Xenopus tropicalis: one gene and its partners. Each later gene encodes a partner of the first gene's protein in a complex. Links are inferred from orthologs where the notes say so. Each region holds a gene or a part of one and is shown in the gene's direction. Other genes may lie near its edges.

Region 1 (3,500 bases):
GTTACTAGTCCACTGCCTGTCACAGTAAAAGAAAGCGGGCATCTAAATATTCGTCATGACCATACCCCTGATCTGCCCAACGACACCCTGTTACATCCAGAAAATACAAAGCACCCTTTGTGGTACATAAACTGGAATTTTGTATGTAGCGTCTCCAGTCCCCACCCTCCAAAATGGTGGCACTTTCTTGTGCACAGGCTCCTGCACTGTGATCACTGCCAGGGAACTTGGGCACAGAACATTGCCACCAACCCTGCTGCCATGCTTTGCGTTTCATGAAGGTGTTGAAAGCACTACCTCATCACACAGAGCAAAGGGTTTCTTGAACATAAGTCATAACCTTGAACATGTTTATACATATTTGTCTAATGGGAATATTAACAGGTGACTATTTCCTCTTGCTTTGCTATCTCTTGCTTCTGTGCAAGTGTCACATACTTTGCTAATTTATTTTGACTGTCGGGCCACACATTCCCTTCTACCTTCCATAGCTCTCCTCTTGTACCCTGTCCACCAAACCAACAAGTGACATTAGCTTTATTATTCTCATTAGTCAGTGTTGCACAGAGTGAAGTCCCCCTTTGCATAAGGATAAAGTCTTTGTTTCCATTACAAGTGATTTTTGGCTTTTAGAAGAAAATTGATGTTTTTTCTTCCCTCAGCGCCAGTTTTGTGGCATGGTTTTGATTCGATGTGCTTTTTGAGCGAGATACTGTATTTCAAACACAAGCAGTGAAGCAGTACTTAATTTGGAGTCTGTTCTGACAAGTTCCTGCTGAGAACATTTGGGATTTAGTGGGCTATATGGAGAGATGATCTGATAGCAACAGAAATTCTCAGTGAACCAGGAATTTGGATTGTTAGGGTGGGATGGTGGAGCCAAAATTATAAGGGTGCAGTATGGATCTTCCATAAGCACAGTCAGACCAGGCTTGTTTGTTGTGAATATTTAGTGATAAGTAAAGTTGTGTCCCTTTTGCACTTACAGTGTGACTGTCTGGGTCCTTAAGGTTGCCATACACATAGCAATTTCGATCTTTTGTTCGACCATCGTTCCCACCCTCCACTGAAGTTCAGGGCTGAATCGTCCGATATGGAGGTAGAAACAATAGAAATTCTACCTCCTGCCGATTCAGCCCTGAATGTAGATTTTGCTAAAAAATCTTTTAACCTGGCCGATCGATGAGTTGAGCGATATCCGCAGCCTTTTGTGATATCGGCCGCCTCGTTGAGCCGCCATACACGCACCTTATATTGTAAGAAGCGAGGTTTCCTACGATATCACCGGTTCATGTATGGCCGGCTTTAGTGCGTCCTGAACTGAGGTAAGTCACAGGAGTTCTTTCTAGGGTCATCATTAAGAACTAATCAAAATACACAGGGGGTACTAATTTGTTAGGCACCACAGTGAATATAATCCCTAAACTTGGATCCTGACCCCCTATGTTCAAGCATTTCCCAGGAATCCTTTGCTGCTGTCAAGGAATATTCTTATGCTCAGTATAGTAATATTGGTAGTCATGTGAGGAATGCTGACCTGGGTTCTAGGGTAGGAATTATGTTTCCTGCAGCGGGTCGGGTACCCACAGAACACCCGCATATATGTCAGGAATGGGGGGAGGCAAAATCCTAGATGTCTTGACTGTGCGGGTGGTCCACAGGTACACAGTGGAGGTAATTGGGGAGGTTTCAGGCAGCTTTAAAAACACAAAAAGACCTGAGTTTACCAGCAAACTTGCCAGTTTCTGACCTAACTTCTGGTTCTCAAGTCAGCCCCGCCACAAAATAATGACGTTACTTCCGTTTTGCCAAGAAGTTGTTTGCGGTTCGGGAAGGCACTTCTTCGAATTTGTTCGGGTATGGAAAGACATCATAGTCAATACAGGTGTGTGGGTCCAGGTCTAACTGAAGATACACCAAAATATACCAAAACAGACCCATGCAGGACTCTTCCCTGGAGGATGGGATGGCTAAAGTTAAAGTGTTGCTGCTTAAGTTATTTTCTAATGGGCAGACTAACTGTAATAAATAGATAAATGGGCCTGCTGGATATACATTGTGCCCATTTGGGCCATTCAGTTTTCTTTGGATCAGCTGGTCCTTTAGGGCAGTGACATACCGGCCAGTCGTGTTTTTAGGTGTACATGCATGTCTATGGTGCAGGCAGGAGTGACTGCTGGAGACTTCACATTCACTTTCAGGCTTGCAGCCATTATTCACAACAGTACCCCAATTGTTGGATTGGATTGTACCTCTTCATGGTGGGCAGAGGTGCCTGACCTGGGCTATGTGACTGCACTACTACAATCTGTCAGAGCTGTTTAATATGTTTCTCTTAAATTACAGGCATGTGGGGTAATAGTGGAGCTAATTAAAAGCAAGAAAATGGCTGGGAGAGCGGTGCTGCTGGCGGGACCTCCTGGAACTGGCAAGGTACCTTATTTTTCTGCATGTTTCTTTCACCTGGATCCTATTTAACCATGGAAAATGCAAAGCATCAGGGTGTATATGTCTCCTATGCCAAACTATGTTTTGACTGCTGGCATTGCCCCCTTGTGTTGAAATGTTCATAGTTCCACTTTAAACCTGTGAATCACATACATAAACATTATACAAGGATAAGCTTGTTATACAGTGGGATTATGCATAATACATTACTGCAGCCTTTTAAAAAAAAAAATAATAATTTATATTGGAAACAGTAAAAGAAAAAAAATCTTTCATTAGATCAACAGTAATACCAGAGATTTCATTTGTAGAGCCTTTAACCTTGTGAATCAGAAAAGAAGATGGGGAACTACTGGGGGCATTTCTAGAGGCAAAAGGGCTATAGTCTCCTCCAGCTGGTGCTATAAGGGCAGTCTCGCGTGCACCGCCCTTTTGCACCTTTGGTCAGGCCCACGTGGCTTCCTTACTCTGCTCTCTTTCATTTTTATATTCCTTGTCTCCTTACAGACTGCTTTGGCTTTAGCCATTGCCCAGGAACTAGGCAATAAAGTTCCATTTTGCCCCATGGTTGGCAGTGAAGTTTATTCCACAGAGATCAAGAAAACGGAGGTCCTGATGGAGAATTTCCGGAGAGCCATCGGTAAGTGGTTGGTGGGCAGCTTGCTATGTCTGACTTTAAATGGTAAAATATACACAAGGTGTTGGAATTTTCCATTCTTAAGCATCTTAATGAAAGAGCTGAACTTTTGAAGCCAAAAACTCAAAGTAAATGCTAATCAGCCATTTCACATGTAATATAGGAGGTTACAAAGAGCATAAATAGAACATTTTTATAAAGCAAATGTGTCATTCTTCCTGCATAATATTTACCATAGTAAAAAAAATCTATTCTACCCTGCCCCAATAATTGCCCTATCCTGCACACCATTTATTATTTTGAATGCTTTATTAGAAAATACCTGCTAAAACTTGGCTTCCGGTCATTTTAAATAGGGCGATACGGCAATGCAGGGGAAGAACCCACTATGCGATGATCGACTGATCGATCCTAG
Region 2 (3,438 bases), on another chromosome or scaffold:
TGATGACGATTACGTTGAAGATGGTGCCGAAGGGGAGGAAGAGGAGGAGGAAGATGGTATGTTCTTGGTGATACTATTGTATATCTGCAAAAAAAGCTGTAATTCTGATTTGTTTGCCCCCTATATCCCACTATACAGGTCTGACATAATAATTTTATTTGTTTCTAGAAGAGGATGAAGCAGCAGCAGCAGCTGATCGGGGAGAGAAGAGGAAACGGGACCCAGAAGATGACGGAGATGAGGATGAAGATTGAAGCCATTGTTTCTGGAGGCTAGGACCAGTCTCTTTTCTGAGCCCTTGGGTTAATGCTAGAATAATGCAGATCTGTATGTCTCTACATGTACAATAGATATCCCTACAGAATTTAACTTGGTAACTTTTTATAGGCAAAGTGTGATTTTACAATTTGTGTGCCCTTTTTATCATTCCAAGTAAGATGTAAGATCCTGTTAGTACATTTAGTTTCCCTTTCTGACCCCATTGTAATATCTTGTGTTCCAGAGGGCTTAACCACGTTTTAGGGTCCTTTTATGGGGGTGGGTTTAGGGTGGGGAGCCATTAGCCCAGACATGAAATTGTTTCTCTGCTCCATAGTTCTAATAGGACTTGTAAAGCAAACCAAGAATGCTTTATGGCATTGTCAAACGGCAGTCGTGGTTTCTGCCTCACCTTTAAAGATGTTCACCGTTAACTTTTAGTATCACGTAAGCAATGAGATTCTAACAGCAATTCTTTGTTTTCATTCTTTGTAGTTTTTGCAACTTTGCCTTTTGTTCTGCAGTTGCAGTTAAAACTCTGGTTGCTGGTTCCCACTTACCTTAGTAACCAGGCAGACTGAAAGCTGAATAGGTGAGGGCCACATCACATCATACTAAAAGTTAATTTAAAGGTAAACAACCCTTCTTGAAGGTGGTTGGTTTTGACATTGACAAAGCTGCTGTTTTAGGGTGAAGACACACAGAGCTACTAGTAGCAGCTACTTGTCACGGCTACTAAAATAGACAATGCTGATCATTTACTGATCATTGTCTCTACGTGTGTTTGGGCAGAGGCGATTCTCGGTATTGTCTATGGCAGGGTATTTGCTGGCATTTAGTAGCCGTGAAAAGTAGCTGCCACTAAGTAGCTCCGTGTGTCTTCGCCCTGCAGAATCTGTTTGCTTAATATTACACTAGGGTCGGCCACTTACCATTTCCCTGTCCTTGGGAAATTGCTGGTAACAGCTAAGGTTCAGTTTTGTGTTTAAAGTGATTAAATGGGACTTGCTGAAATCCAGTAGTATCACTGAGTGATCTCTTTTCTGTAGATAAAATGAAGTGTAAAAACCCTTCCTTGTGGCTTTGACATGGGTTTCTTGTTCCACATGACACCTCAGATGGCAGTTTCACTGCTTGCATCGGCAATCCTAATGTTCCACTCAAGGTAGGAGCATCTTCTGGTCACAGGGTGGAGCCTAGTAAATTAGCACCGCCCCCCTTTTACTTTAAAAGAACAGTAACACCAAAAAATTAAAATATATTAAAGTAATTAAATTATAATGTACTTTTGCATTCACTGGTGTGTTTGCTTCAGAAACACTACTATAATTTATATAAATATTGTGTAGCCCCGGAGGGCAGCTATTTAAAAGGAGGAAAGGCACAGGTTATATAACGGCTAACATAAACTCCGTAGAATACAATGGTGTCTTATCTGTTATCTGCTATGTAGCGTGAGCCTTTTCTTTTTATTCCAGCTTGAATAGCTGCCCCCGGGGCTACACTATCTTATTTATATAAACTATAGTAGCTGTACCAGTGCAGGGTAACAGTAAATTGTATTTTAATTACCTTAAAACACTTTCATGTTTTGGTGTTACTCTTTCTTTAAGAAACATTTTTGAAGGCCAAACCCATAGGGTTGGAACCACAGTCATAAGCTGCCTCGTTTTTTTGTTTTTTTTTTATATGAAAACACTTGTTGCTACAGAAATTCAGATTTCAGTACCATAATGTTTCATTATTACATATTCTTTTAAGGAGGGGGGTTACTATTGGCCATTTTACAATACAGAGAAATGCACATCCCTGCCTGTTTTCATCTGGTTTTCTGGATCCCTACACTCTTGGCAGACCAAGCAAGGATGTCCGATCTAACGCCACAAGACATCACCAACTATACAGTTTGTTACATTCATGGTTCTTGTATTTAATGGCAAAGTGTTGATTAGTTAACGTGCTCAATAACCTGGAAAGCAGCACCTCATATGACCCGTATATCAGCACATATTCCCTGAAACAATTTGTAAACATTGGAGAGTAATAATGAATCCCTTAGATGCCCGTTTCCCTTTTAAAAGACCATAATTGCTTGTTAATAAATGTTAACAGTGTCATTAGATTGTACTGGCAAACTTAATTCTCTTTAATTCCTGATCTGTAGGGAGTAATGAATCCTGGGGGTTTGGAGTTATTGGACAAGGGAAATAGTTTCTTGGTTTCCATGATTTTAAACATATATAAGTTTTTTCTTTGTTCCCATCTGTGCCCATAGCGGCATCCCTATGCTGTTGTATATTAAAGACATAGAGGCATGTAAGTCTGACTTCATCACATAGATGCATGGCTACCACATGCTCCTTACATACGACCAGGGCCTGGTGTGATATATTTATTCCTATACCAAAAACCCTCTCCCTTGTATCATGCAAGCCACTTTATGCATCTTGGAAACAAAACTTTCTATCTTATCATAACACCGGCCTTTCAAATATATATATATTTTATTTTATTTTTTTCGTTTGGTGAAAATATATAAGGGCGGGTTTTTATATTTGCAGAGGGGGTTTGTCCTATTTTAAATACTCTTTTATGGCAGTATGTATATAGTGTGATCGGTTACTTTTTTTGATTCTCTACATGTGCGACTTTGTTTTTGAATAAAGCCATAACAGTGTTACATAGCGTGGAGCAGCCGTCATTTTGTGGTTCTGACCTGTGTGTGGCGTATTCCTGTGTTTAACCCCTAGTTGTCTTTTTTTAGGGGGATCTGAAACCACAAATGGTGAGGAAATAATTACAACGATTACCACACGTTGTACTGCAATAGCCAGCCTTTTACAATGCAAGTGCTTTCAGGTAACCTATTGTTTCCCCTATTCATGTAACTGGCTGGACTTGGGTGTATTACCATTGGGTGCTATTCTTATATCTACCACTAGGTGGTGCAATGGAAATTTTTTAGTAATGCAGGTGTTGGGGAGCTGCTGTTTGCTTACTTGCCTATTGTGCTACTGGGGGGTGAGATCACTCCCAACTTGCAGCGCAGCAGTAAAGAGAGACGTTTATCAGAGCACAGGTCATATGGCTGAGGGCAGCTGGGAAACATGTCTAGCCCTGTATCAATTTTAAGTAATAAAAAGTAACTATAAAATTGTTGCAACACTGAGGAACAGTTTT
Region 3 (3,500 bases), on another chromosome or scaffold:
GGAGTACTTTTCAAACTATGTTGTTGGAAAGCAAGAATGTCAAACAAATTTCTAACCAATTAATTATGTACTTGGCTAAGCAAACTTTTTGATTTAAGGATCCGTAAAAGTGTTACCCCATCAATGGACAGCAGTCATATGTCCCAACAGCTATCCTGGATGGGTCTTAATGCAGTGTTTTATCTTGGTGACTTCACAACTTGCTTTTAACTGAATGTTTCCCCATCATATAAAAAAAAACTGTGATTATTCACATAATTACGAATACAACACTGTTTTTCATGCAATATTGTTTCCATGTGCCATGATCCAAATATAGTAACTTTCAGTAGCGTAACTACAGAGAAAGCAGACCCTGTTTTTCTCTATAGCCACTCTTGTCCCAGGAAAGTTTGTGTGCACACTGCTGATAGTTTGCAGTGGGTGCGCAAATGTTCCTGGGACAAGAGCACGCACTTGAGAGCAACTTTTGACAACAGCAATTGAAAACACTGCTTTTTACTTTGTTGGGGTGAGCTGAATTTGAAAAGCACCATTATCCATTTTGTTGGCAGCATGTTCTATGTGGAAATTACCAAGGTTTTAATGCAGTGGTAAAGGTGGCATTTGGATCCCTGCCCCATATGCCACAAGTCAACTGACTCTGCTTCTAAGTCTCACAAATGCATCAGCATGTAATTGTATACTATATGGTACCAATATTTACGAATCATATGTTAAAATCAACACACCACCCATGTAAAACTGTTATGTGCTACGCTTCTGTTCAGTAAATTAGAACTGTATGGATCCTTATTACCCAATTACTGAGTGGGTGGGCATTTTATGCTGATACATGTGGTTGCCATTGAAACTACTTGAGTATCTGAGGTGATACATTAGAAGCAATTACAGTGTAATATCGGTCCCTTTAGCCTACTTGAGAAAGTCTAACCCCGTATGCAATAAAAGATGTAGCAGTTACCCATAGCAACCAATAAGATTAGAAGTGTGCTTTTAAACAGGTGACCAGTAAATTCTACCTGCTAATTGGTTGCTATGGTTTACTTCTCTTGGGCAAACTTAGTGCACTTTATTACATAACCCCCTAAATCTTTGACTTCTGTCACAATATGAATCATGTAACAGACCTGCAAATGTTTTTTAATCTGTGTATATACCAACTGTCCTAATATTGTGTCCATAAATATTTAGCATTTTTAAAAAGTTGTGATTTGTCTCTCTCCATAGGAGACACTTGCAAATTTAGAACGGCAGATCTATGCTTTTGAAGGGAGTTACTTGGAAGACACACAGATGTATGGTAACATTATCAGAGGTTGGGACCGTTACCTAACAAATCAAAAGTAAGTTTGGATTAGTAAGCTTCTGTTTTTGTTTAACCCTATATGCCCTTTGCTTTAGAAATTTGATGAAAAGATTAATACAACTTAATCTGATTCACTTACTGTTTAACAGACTACAGTAGTCCCCCAACCACAACTACATTTACTGCTATAACTCACTTTATTAAAGATCTGGGATTTATGGTCAATGCTTTAATATGCTTTTTTTTCCAGTTAATGTGCATTACAATTTATGCTGCAATATGAAGCAAAATATGAACTCCTGACAGTATTTAGAAAAAGAATGCATTGAAGTGCACTGTAGTTTAGAATGTTATTTGTTCCTTCTGAAACTGGCAATACATGTAATTTCATAAAATTTTGTCTATGAATATGAACAGTATGGTTGCCAATAATCATACACTATGGATACCTATGAGAAAGGGCTTGCTGGAGAATAGTGCCAAATATATTTTTATATGTGAATCTAGTAAACAAAATTTTCTATTGCAGGAATTCAAACAGTAAGAATGATAGGAGGAACAGAAAGTTCAAAGAAGCAGAACGACTTTTTAGCAAATCTTCCGTAACATCAGCTGCTGTAAGTACAATTTAAGAAAGCTTTCATGGTTAGTAATGAATGAACATTAAAGAATAAGTAAACCTTTTATTTTATAATCCCTAAAATGACTAGCTAGCTCCGCTGTGGTATTCTGCATCTGTAGGTCAGCTTTACAGAGACACTTTTCATTGAAATAGACTCAAAGGGGAGGGAGCAAGGATGGGGCTCATTGGAAGGCAGTGGATGGGGGGCTTTTGTCTAGGGGAGGTTTAGTTCTTCTTTAATGAAAAGCACAGTTTTCATACCACAGTCTTACTGCCACCACTGCATGGGTTTACAATTTGGCGCATTTCATTAATTACTAACAGGCAGATGGACAATGGTATTTTGTTTACTGTTGTTTTCTTCTGGATGGCATCACTAGACTAAACACTCCGTGTGCCATAGCCCTTAGAATGGCCAACTTATAAGGCCTGATTATGACCATCTTTTCATTTGCATGGTAATCTTGTTTTGGTAATTACAGTTTCAGTCTATGTACAGATTTTTTTAGGGCATAGCCACATCGAAAAACATTTTGGATCTCTGGGTTCTTGTACAGGTCATTTATGTAGAACTGTGCTGTCCAACTTATAATAAAAAGTGGACCAATTAGGTGGTAACCAGTAAGTTTGTGGACCAGATTATAATTCAATTATGACATAAAAAATCTGTGGGGTGCATATGTACGCCAGTGCCTTAAATTAATTTGGAATGCCACATTCAGGTGTTGAATCTCCAGTTAGACGAGTCCTTCTGTTCAACTTGCTCATATTATATTCTAAGCTGCTATAGAAAGTGCCTTATTGCTCTATAACAAATATTTGTGTTTACACTTTAGGCTGTCAGTGCATTGGCAGGTGTTCAAGACCAGCTGATTGAGAAACGTGAGTGTAATGTTTATATGTTTTTTTGCTTTGTATTTGTCTTCAAGTGAGATGAGAGCATAATTTAATGTGTCATGCATCTTTTATTGCTGATTTACTTTCAGATACTGTCTTGCGCAGGATCTCCACTATTCTTTCTTTTTGCCAAAACCTTCCTTATACTTACATCATACTCCAACATGCTCTGAAATGTTAAAGTAATCTTTGAGCTGTTATTTATCAGTATCATAAGACTTTAAAAAGGGTTTGTATATCATTACATTTTATGTTGGCAATGGTAGGTAGCCCATCTGTACCATGTATGCATTAGCTGCAGTTATAGAATTGTGTGTTTTCATTTTCGTGGATTTTTTTGACTGCATCTTATGCGGTCTTGCTCTGTTTTTTTTTTTAGGGGAGCCAGGCAGCGGAACAGAGAGCGACAACTCTCCAGATTTTCAGAACCAAGAAAATGAGCCTAGCCAAGATGATACAGAGGATTTAGATGGTTCCCTGTCTGGTGTTAAACCTCAAAAAGCAGCTTCTTCAGCCAATTCTGGTGGCCATCACAGCAGTCACAAGAAACGCAAGAATAAAAATAGGCACAGGTTGGCTGAAAAATTGCTTAGAACTGTAATTTGCTAAAACTGTATTTAAGGACACTATTTTTATTTTTTAATAAAAATGATTTAGAAGTTTTACTGTTTC
Region 4 (2,301 bases), on another chromosome or scaffold:
CCATGTCAGACAAATTCTCAAACTGAATTGTTGTTGTATCACACTACACATGTTTACAATTGCACTGTATTAAAGAGTTGGTGAAGGTAGGGCTGGGCGATATACCGCTTAATACCGAATACCGGTGGTTTTTTTTAAAACTATATTCATTTTTCAGATACCGCAATACCGGGGTGTCAGGGTACTCACCCGTGCGGCCCGGTCTCGCGTGCGTCCTGTTGTCCGCGGGACGTTGCGCACGCGCATCCAGGTGCGCGTGCGTCAAAGCGCACGTACATGTCAAAGCGTGCACGTCCGTGATGCGCTGACGGCGCCGGTTCTGTGCATGCGTGGGGGGTATTTAAAGCTATCAAACGCCTCCTCCTGTGCTATGTTGTCTGCGGCCTTGCCTGGGAAACTAAGCCTGCCTGATTTACCTTACGACTTTCTGTTGCCGATCCTTCGCTTGACTGATTTTCAATACTGCAGTAATTATTTTCTAATTTATTAGGAAATGGGGTTAACACCTAATCATGCATGGAAAAAAAAAATACCGTCAAATACCGTGACACCGATATAATTTTGAAAAATACTGTAATATAAATTTTTGGTCATACCGCCCAGCTCTAGGTGAAGGTTAAGTAAAAAAGACCTCAGCTCTAACATCTCAGATCTAAGTTCCTCTACTTTATACTAGGGATGAAGCAAATCCACTATTTTGGTATCCGGCCAAACCCCAAATCCATTGAAAAGATTTGGGCAAATACCAAACTGAATCCTAATTTACATATGCAAATTAGGCCACGGAGGGGGTTAAAGAGGACTGTATGCTTTGCACATGGTCAAAAATTTTATAAATATATAAAAATAGTTTTTTTTAATCCAACCTTATGATTTTGTTATCTCAATTATGACAAATTGCGTCCTTTGTCTGCTGGAATAGTGGCACTGTGGGAAATAATAGGGTTTGTATTCAAAGGTAAAACTGCAATCTTAAGACAATAACCCATTTTATATAAGCTGCAGAAAGAGAGGGCAAAGACATTTTCTTCCTAATATTTCCATTAGGCAAATACATAATCATTTCTAAAATGGTCCTGGAAACTTTTTTTTTTTTTAAATGTATTTTCAAAATAAACAGGAACAGAAAAGAAGATTTCAGACATTAACAGTAATCATATTTGGCAATATATAGAATGTCGGGTAAATATAAAAAATAACAATATAGTGTGATTCTTAAGAATGAAATGTGTATGTGTGTTTCTATATATCTCTGTAGGAGCTGGCTTTTCTGGATGACAGTAACACTGTATATAAGCTGATTGGTCCAGTGCTGGTAAAACAGGACCTGGAAGAGGCAAAGTCTACTGTGGATAAAAGACTTCAGTACATTAATGGAGAAATGTGAGTAGTGTTTTTCTTTAGTCTGTATTGAGATTAATAACTGGTTTGTATAATGTTTGAATGTTTGTTTCTCAGCAAAAGATATGAGACCACACTTAAGGATATGGAGCAGCGTTCAGAGCAACATAGGGCATCCCTTACTAAGCTTCAACAAGATTACCAGAGGACACAAGGAAAGGGGCCAGTGAAGGCCTGAGGGGCATTCAGAATAATCTATAACCCTAGACCTGGTTTTCATTGGTCATTAATGCTCCAGGACTGTGTAACCAAAACTTTGCCCACCATTTATTTTCCTGGAATACTTTTGGCACCTCCTGCCTCTTGTGCACACTGATGCCACTTCTTGGACAGTAAGAGCTTCATTGTGGAAATACTATGTCTTGAATTGTGTTGGGTAATAAAAATGCTTTGACTCCGAGAGGACTTAATCTTATCTTTCCTGGGAGAATAGCAGAACATTGCACGTAAGAAATACACAAACCATACATATAGTTTCTGAACAAATGGAACAACTCCTGACCTATGAACAATAAGTACCAATAGAAATGTAAGAAGTGAAATTAGATACCAAGGGGCCTCCACCCAAAATAGGTTTTGTTTGTTTGTATAAGAGATTAATAATTCTAAGCAACATTCCATTATGCACTAAACAATTGAGTGGTTCAATGGTTATTTGTAAATTACATTGCTTTTAAAAGTAGTGTTTTTCTGCAGGTCTGTTAATCTTTTGGCTTTTGTTATTGAACACCATTGAATAACTGTATAAAAAAAGTTGCTTAGAGTTACATCTTCTTTTATTATGCCAAAAAGTGTTGAACCTCTTTAAGGAAGACTAATATTTTCAGCCCAATTACTACATATTAGAGAAATTACATGACTAAAATACATTTGTGTCTCCAGATCTATTAATGGACCCAT
Region 5 (3,500 bases), about 97 Mb from region 1:
CAGATACCCTAAGAAAATGTTTACAAAAAAAAGAGACAAGAAATCCTGTGTTTATTTTGATAGAGGACTCAGTGCAGCGTTTCTCTGAGTGCTTATGGCTGTATTTACATAGTTTTACCTTTCCTTCTCCTGTAAGGCAATTCCTCTTGTCCTTTAATAAGTTGCAAAGTAAGATTTCCTGGAATTAGGGAAAGTCCTAGGATGTAATATGTCAAAATGGAAAAAATCCTTTATTCACACTCCATAATGGAAAGCAATAGTCTGGAAAAAAAATCCTTATTTGTATGTTTATATATCATACTGCCTCTTCTGCTAAAACATTCTGTAGATTCCAGGGACATAATGAGTCTGTGTTATGAAGTGAAATCATCTCATTTAGCAAGAGGTTCAGAGTATATGAGATTGCTTTAAATAGATACAGTACCTATATAGCTTTGCACCATTTGAGAAGGTAATGATATGTGTAGGTCAAACCAGACATTACAGCCATGGACCCCCACAAAACATCAAGGACGTATAAGAAACACGTTACTTGGGGAGAAGATAGAAAAAAATATGCAGTGACAAGAATGAATGGGAGGTTCTCTCATTGCAACTTTAACATCTCTAATTTGCATTTTGAGTGGCCTCAAAAGTTAACTTAATGACAAAGACCCCATTACTAGATGCTGACATGAGAGATACAAGTCAGAGCACAAAAACAGATGTAGTTTACAGCTTATTCAAATGACATTAAAGCAGAGGCAGTACTAAGCATGGCTCCTATTTGCTGATAACAGTGATATTTTTTTTATCAAGTCAGAGAATGTGTACTGTATTTTCTCAAATTTCCCAGGTGCGCCCCGGGCATTATATGTCGGTTTGATCAGCGGTAGTGTCCCATTTATTAGTTCTATCCATTGTTGAATTGTGGAGGAATGGGGCTCATCCACTTCATTATTACTACCTTTTTTGCATAGAACACAAGGGAGCGTAGTAATGCTCTGGATTTTTGAAGGGGTACTAATTCACCTATTATTCCTAACAAACATACTTCGGGAGACCTGATGCCAGGAAGAGACAGGTGTTCCTCTATATAGTGGGTGACTTCTGTCCAGTACGTTAATACTTTGGGACAATCCCAGATCAAGTGGAGGAAACCTACTTCTGCCATATTACATTTAACACATTTGGATTTTTCTAATTTCCCTATGGCCTTGAGTTTCAGAGGGGTAATGTATATTTGGTGAATCATCTTAAACTGGATCATTCTCTGAGTGATATTAGGAAGTGTATAAGTGATATTAGGAAGTTGTATAAGTTATCAGTTGTTTTGTCCCATTGATCTTCATCCAGGGATGGAACATTTGCCAGCCATTTGCGTTTGGCCTTGTCAAATGGAGCAGGGTGTGAGGTCTGGATTATGCTATACAGCTGGGAAACTAGTTTGGTTGGGTCTAAAGCCCAGAGTCTAGTTTCCCATGACAGTAGTGTGGGTGCGAGTTGGTAGGTCCCAAACTGGGAATGAAAAGCATGTCTCAGTTGAAGATAACGGAAAAACTGAATATTTGGCCCGTTAAGTTTGACTTTCAGTTGTTCTATTGATACAAAACAGTTTTCAATCAGTAGATCGTCTAGGTGTCTGATGGCCAATATTGGAAATCGACTAAGTGTCTCATATGTGGTAGGTTTGAGTTTCTCCATAGGGGCGCTTTGCCTGATAACTGAGAAAGAGGGGTACAGACCTTAGCTTGTGGTGAGTACCTCGGGTAAAAGGGGAAGGTCAGCCTGTCGTCTGTATGGCAAGTTGCGTATGGCCTCTAGGGAGCCCATAATTGCCGCATGCAGTGCAGTTAATAAGTTGCTGCGGTCAGGATTAAACCAGTTATGTATATAGGATAGTTGGGTTGCAAAGTAGTAATTTTGTATGTGGGGTTGAGCAAGCCCCCCTTTTGCTTTTGAAGCAGTGAGTGTGAGCCATGATATTCTTGGGGCTTTGTTGGCCCAAATGAAAGAAATTAATTCACTGTTTAGGTTTTTAAAGAACTGGTTAGTTATATACACCGGCGAGTTCAACAGTGGGTATAGGAATTTGGGCAGGTACAGCATTTTAAAGAGGTTTATTCTTCCCCATAGCATCAGCGGTAGTTTGTTCCAATGAGGAGTTACGGATTTGAATTTTGCTAGGATGGGCTCTAGATTAGATATTTACTTTTATGCTAAAATTGCACTAGTCCAGTTAAAGATTCAAATTCCAGGCCTGCATTTAAACAGCCTCTTTGGCAAGTGAATTTGCCCATCAAGTTACCAACAGGGTATTCATTTGTGTAGAAGTTGGGAAGTGGCTTGATGTGGGGGAATGATTTTGTGGCAGCCCTGTTTCGAGTTTAACAACTGTCCTCATTGGTATCTTCATTCCTCTTTTTTTTGGCAGATTTTGCTGGTTGAGATGTTTTCCCATGCATTATTCTCAATTAGGGCCCATTTCACCAGGTCACTGGGAGCTTTGGGAACTGTATAGAGCAGCCACTTGGTCTGTGGTCCAGTTTTACAAAACCCTAGAGATTCTATTTATGAATAGAGCTGTGACTAATTGGGACTTGTCCATTCTGGCTGTCCCTATGCACTCATAAATATCTTCCTACTACCACTGACTCAAGTACCAGCATCTTGTATAATATTCTAGCTTGGCTTATTCACCCTTTGTTGCTTTTTATAAGATGGCTGCTTTCCAGTAAAGGTAGAACTCAGGATAGAGGTGTTTTTTTTTTCTCTTGGTGGCCTGTTTCTGTGTAGAGTAAGTTTACATACTTGCTTAATATGTTTCCACATTTGTCCTCAGAGAAAATCATTTTACTGTAAGTACAAAAATCCCCTTTTCTTTCTTACACAGAGGAAGATTCCCGAGTTGATCCCACCTCCGGTTGTTCCCCCCGCAGCAGGTGGAAAATCTCTTCCTGTGCCGGTAAAACACATTCCTCTATTTCTATCACTCTTCCCAAACCACTGTTAAATGCATATACAGACCATAGGTATCTGCAACTCATTTTTCTATTCTTTAAAGTTCAGTTAATTCACTAGATTTTTCCATAACTGTGTCTTGTGTTTCTCTAACATCAGAAGCGGAAGGTGGACATTGTATCTCCTGCAACTCCAGTCCCACCACCTCCAGAGACAACCCAGGTCACTGTCTTTCCACAGGTAAAGCTGCTTATTCAGACTTATTTTGCCAAAAAATGCTGCCTTTGAGTGGGTAAAAATGTTGCATTATCAAGTTTTTATAGGTGTTTTTCTCCCGTAACTGAATTAAGCTAAAAAATATAAATGGTACTACTGAATGTTTCCATAAATATGCATACAATTGCTGATAAGTGAATTTTGTCCTTTACATTTTTAACTGTTCTAGAAAAATTACTGTTTAAAGTGAAATTGCCTCAAAAGTCATGTAAAACTTCTATTAGCATATGTTATACACAACCCAAAATGAGCCTCACACGCTCTATTCCTTTGCTTATTCAGCA

The links.
Region 2: ruvbl1 (region 1) and anp32e share a complex: the UniProt entries of both Homo sapiens proteins name them as parts of the SWR1-like complex. The link is inferred for Xenopus tropicalis from reciprocal best matches to the Homo sapiens genes RUVBL1 and ANP32E.
Region 3: ruvbl1 (region 1) and meaf6 share a complex: the UniProt entries of both Homo sapiens proteins name them as parts of the nuA4 histone acetyltransferase complex. The link is inferred for Xenopus tropicalis from reciprocal best matches to the Homo sapiens genes RUVBL1 and MEAF6.
Region 4: ruvbl1 (region 1) and pfdn6 share a complex: the UniProt entries of both Homo sapiens proteins name them as parts of the PAQosome complex. The link is inferred for Xenopus tropicalis from reciprocal best matches to the Homo sapiens genes RUVBL1 and PFDN6.
Region 5: ruvbl1 (region 1) and kat5 share a complex: the UniProt entries of both Homo sapiens proteins name them as parts of the SWR1-like complex. The link is inferred for Xenopus tropicalis from reciprocal best matches to the Homo sapiens genes RUVBL1 and KAT5.

What each region holds. Positions count from the first base shown.
Region 1 is NC_030680.2:134,985,309-134,988,808, reverse strand, and holds part of ruvbl1 (ruvB-like 1), read left to right. Parts: intron 1-2,346; coding exon 2,347-2,433; intron 2,434-2,955; coding exon 2,956-3,088; intron 3,089-3,500. UniProt on the Homo sapiens protein: Possesses single-stranded DNA-stimulated ATPase and ATP-dependent DNA helicase (3' to 5') activity; hexamerization is thought to be critical for ATP hydrolysis and adjacent subunits in the ring-like structure contribute to the ATPase activity.
Region 2 is NC_030684.2:129,172,520-129,175,957, reverse strand, and holds the end of anp32e (acidic leucine-rich nuclear phosphoprotein 32 family member E), read left to right. Parts: coding exon 1-56; intron 57-168; coding exon 169-254; 3' UTR 255-2,938; downstream 2,939-3,438. UniProt on the Homo sapiens protein: Histone chaperone that specifically mediates the genome-wide removal of histone H2A.Z/H2AZ1 from the nucleosome: removes H2A.Z/H2AZ1 from its normal sites of deposition, especially from enhancer and insulator regions.
Region 3 is NC_030678.2:86,132,697-86,136,196, reverse strand, and holds part of meaf6 (chromatin modification-related protein MEAF6), read left to right. Parts: intron 1-1,230; coding exon 1,231-1,346; intron 1,347-1,838; coding exon 1,839-1,926; intron 1,927-2,767; coding exon 2,768-2,813; intron 2,814-3,207; coding exon 3,208-3,400; intron 3,401-3,500.
Region 4 is NC_030684.2:72,109,385-72,111,685, forward strand, and holds the end of pfdn6 (prefoldin subunit 6), read left to right. Parts: intron 1-1,258; coding exon 1,259-1,383; intron 1,384-1,458; coding exon 1,459-1,579; 3' UTR 1,580-1,801; downstream 1,802-2,301. UniProt on the Homo sapiens protein: Binds specifically to cytosolic chaperonin (c-CPN) and transfers target proteins to it. Binds to nascent polypeptide chain and promotes folding in an environment in which there are many competing pathways for nonnative proteins.
Region 5 is NC_030680.2:37,912,955-37,916,454, forward strand, and holds part of kat5 (histone acetyltransferase KAT5), read left to right. Parts: intron 1-2,872; coding exon 2,873-2,944; intron 2,945-3,099; coding exon 3,100-3,180; intron 3,181-3,498; coding exon 3,499-3,500. UniProt on the Homo sapiens protein: Catalytic subunit of the NuA4 histone acetyltransferase complex, a multiprotein complex involved in transcriptional activation of select genes principally by acetylation of nucleosomal histones H2A and H4.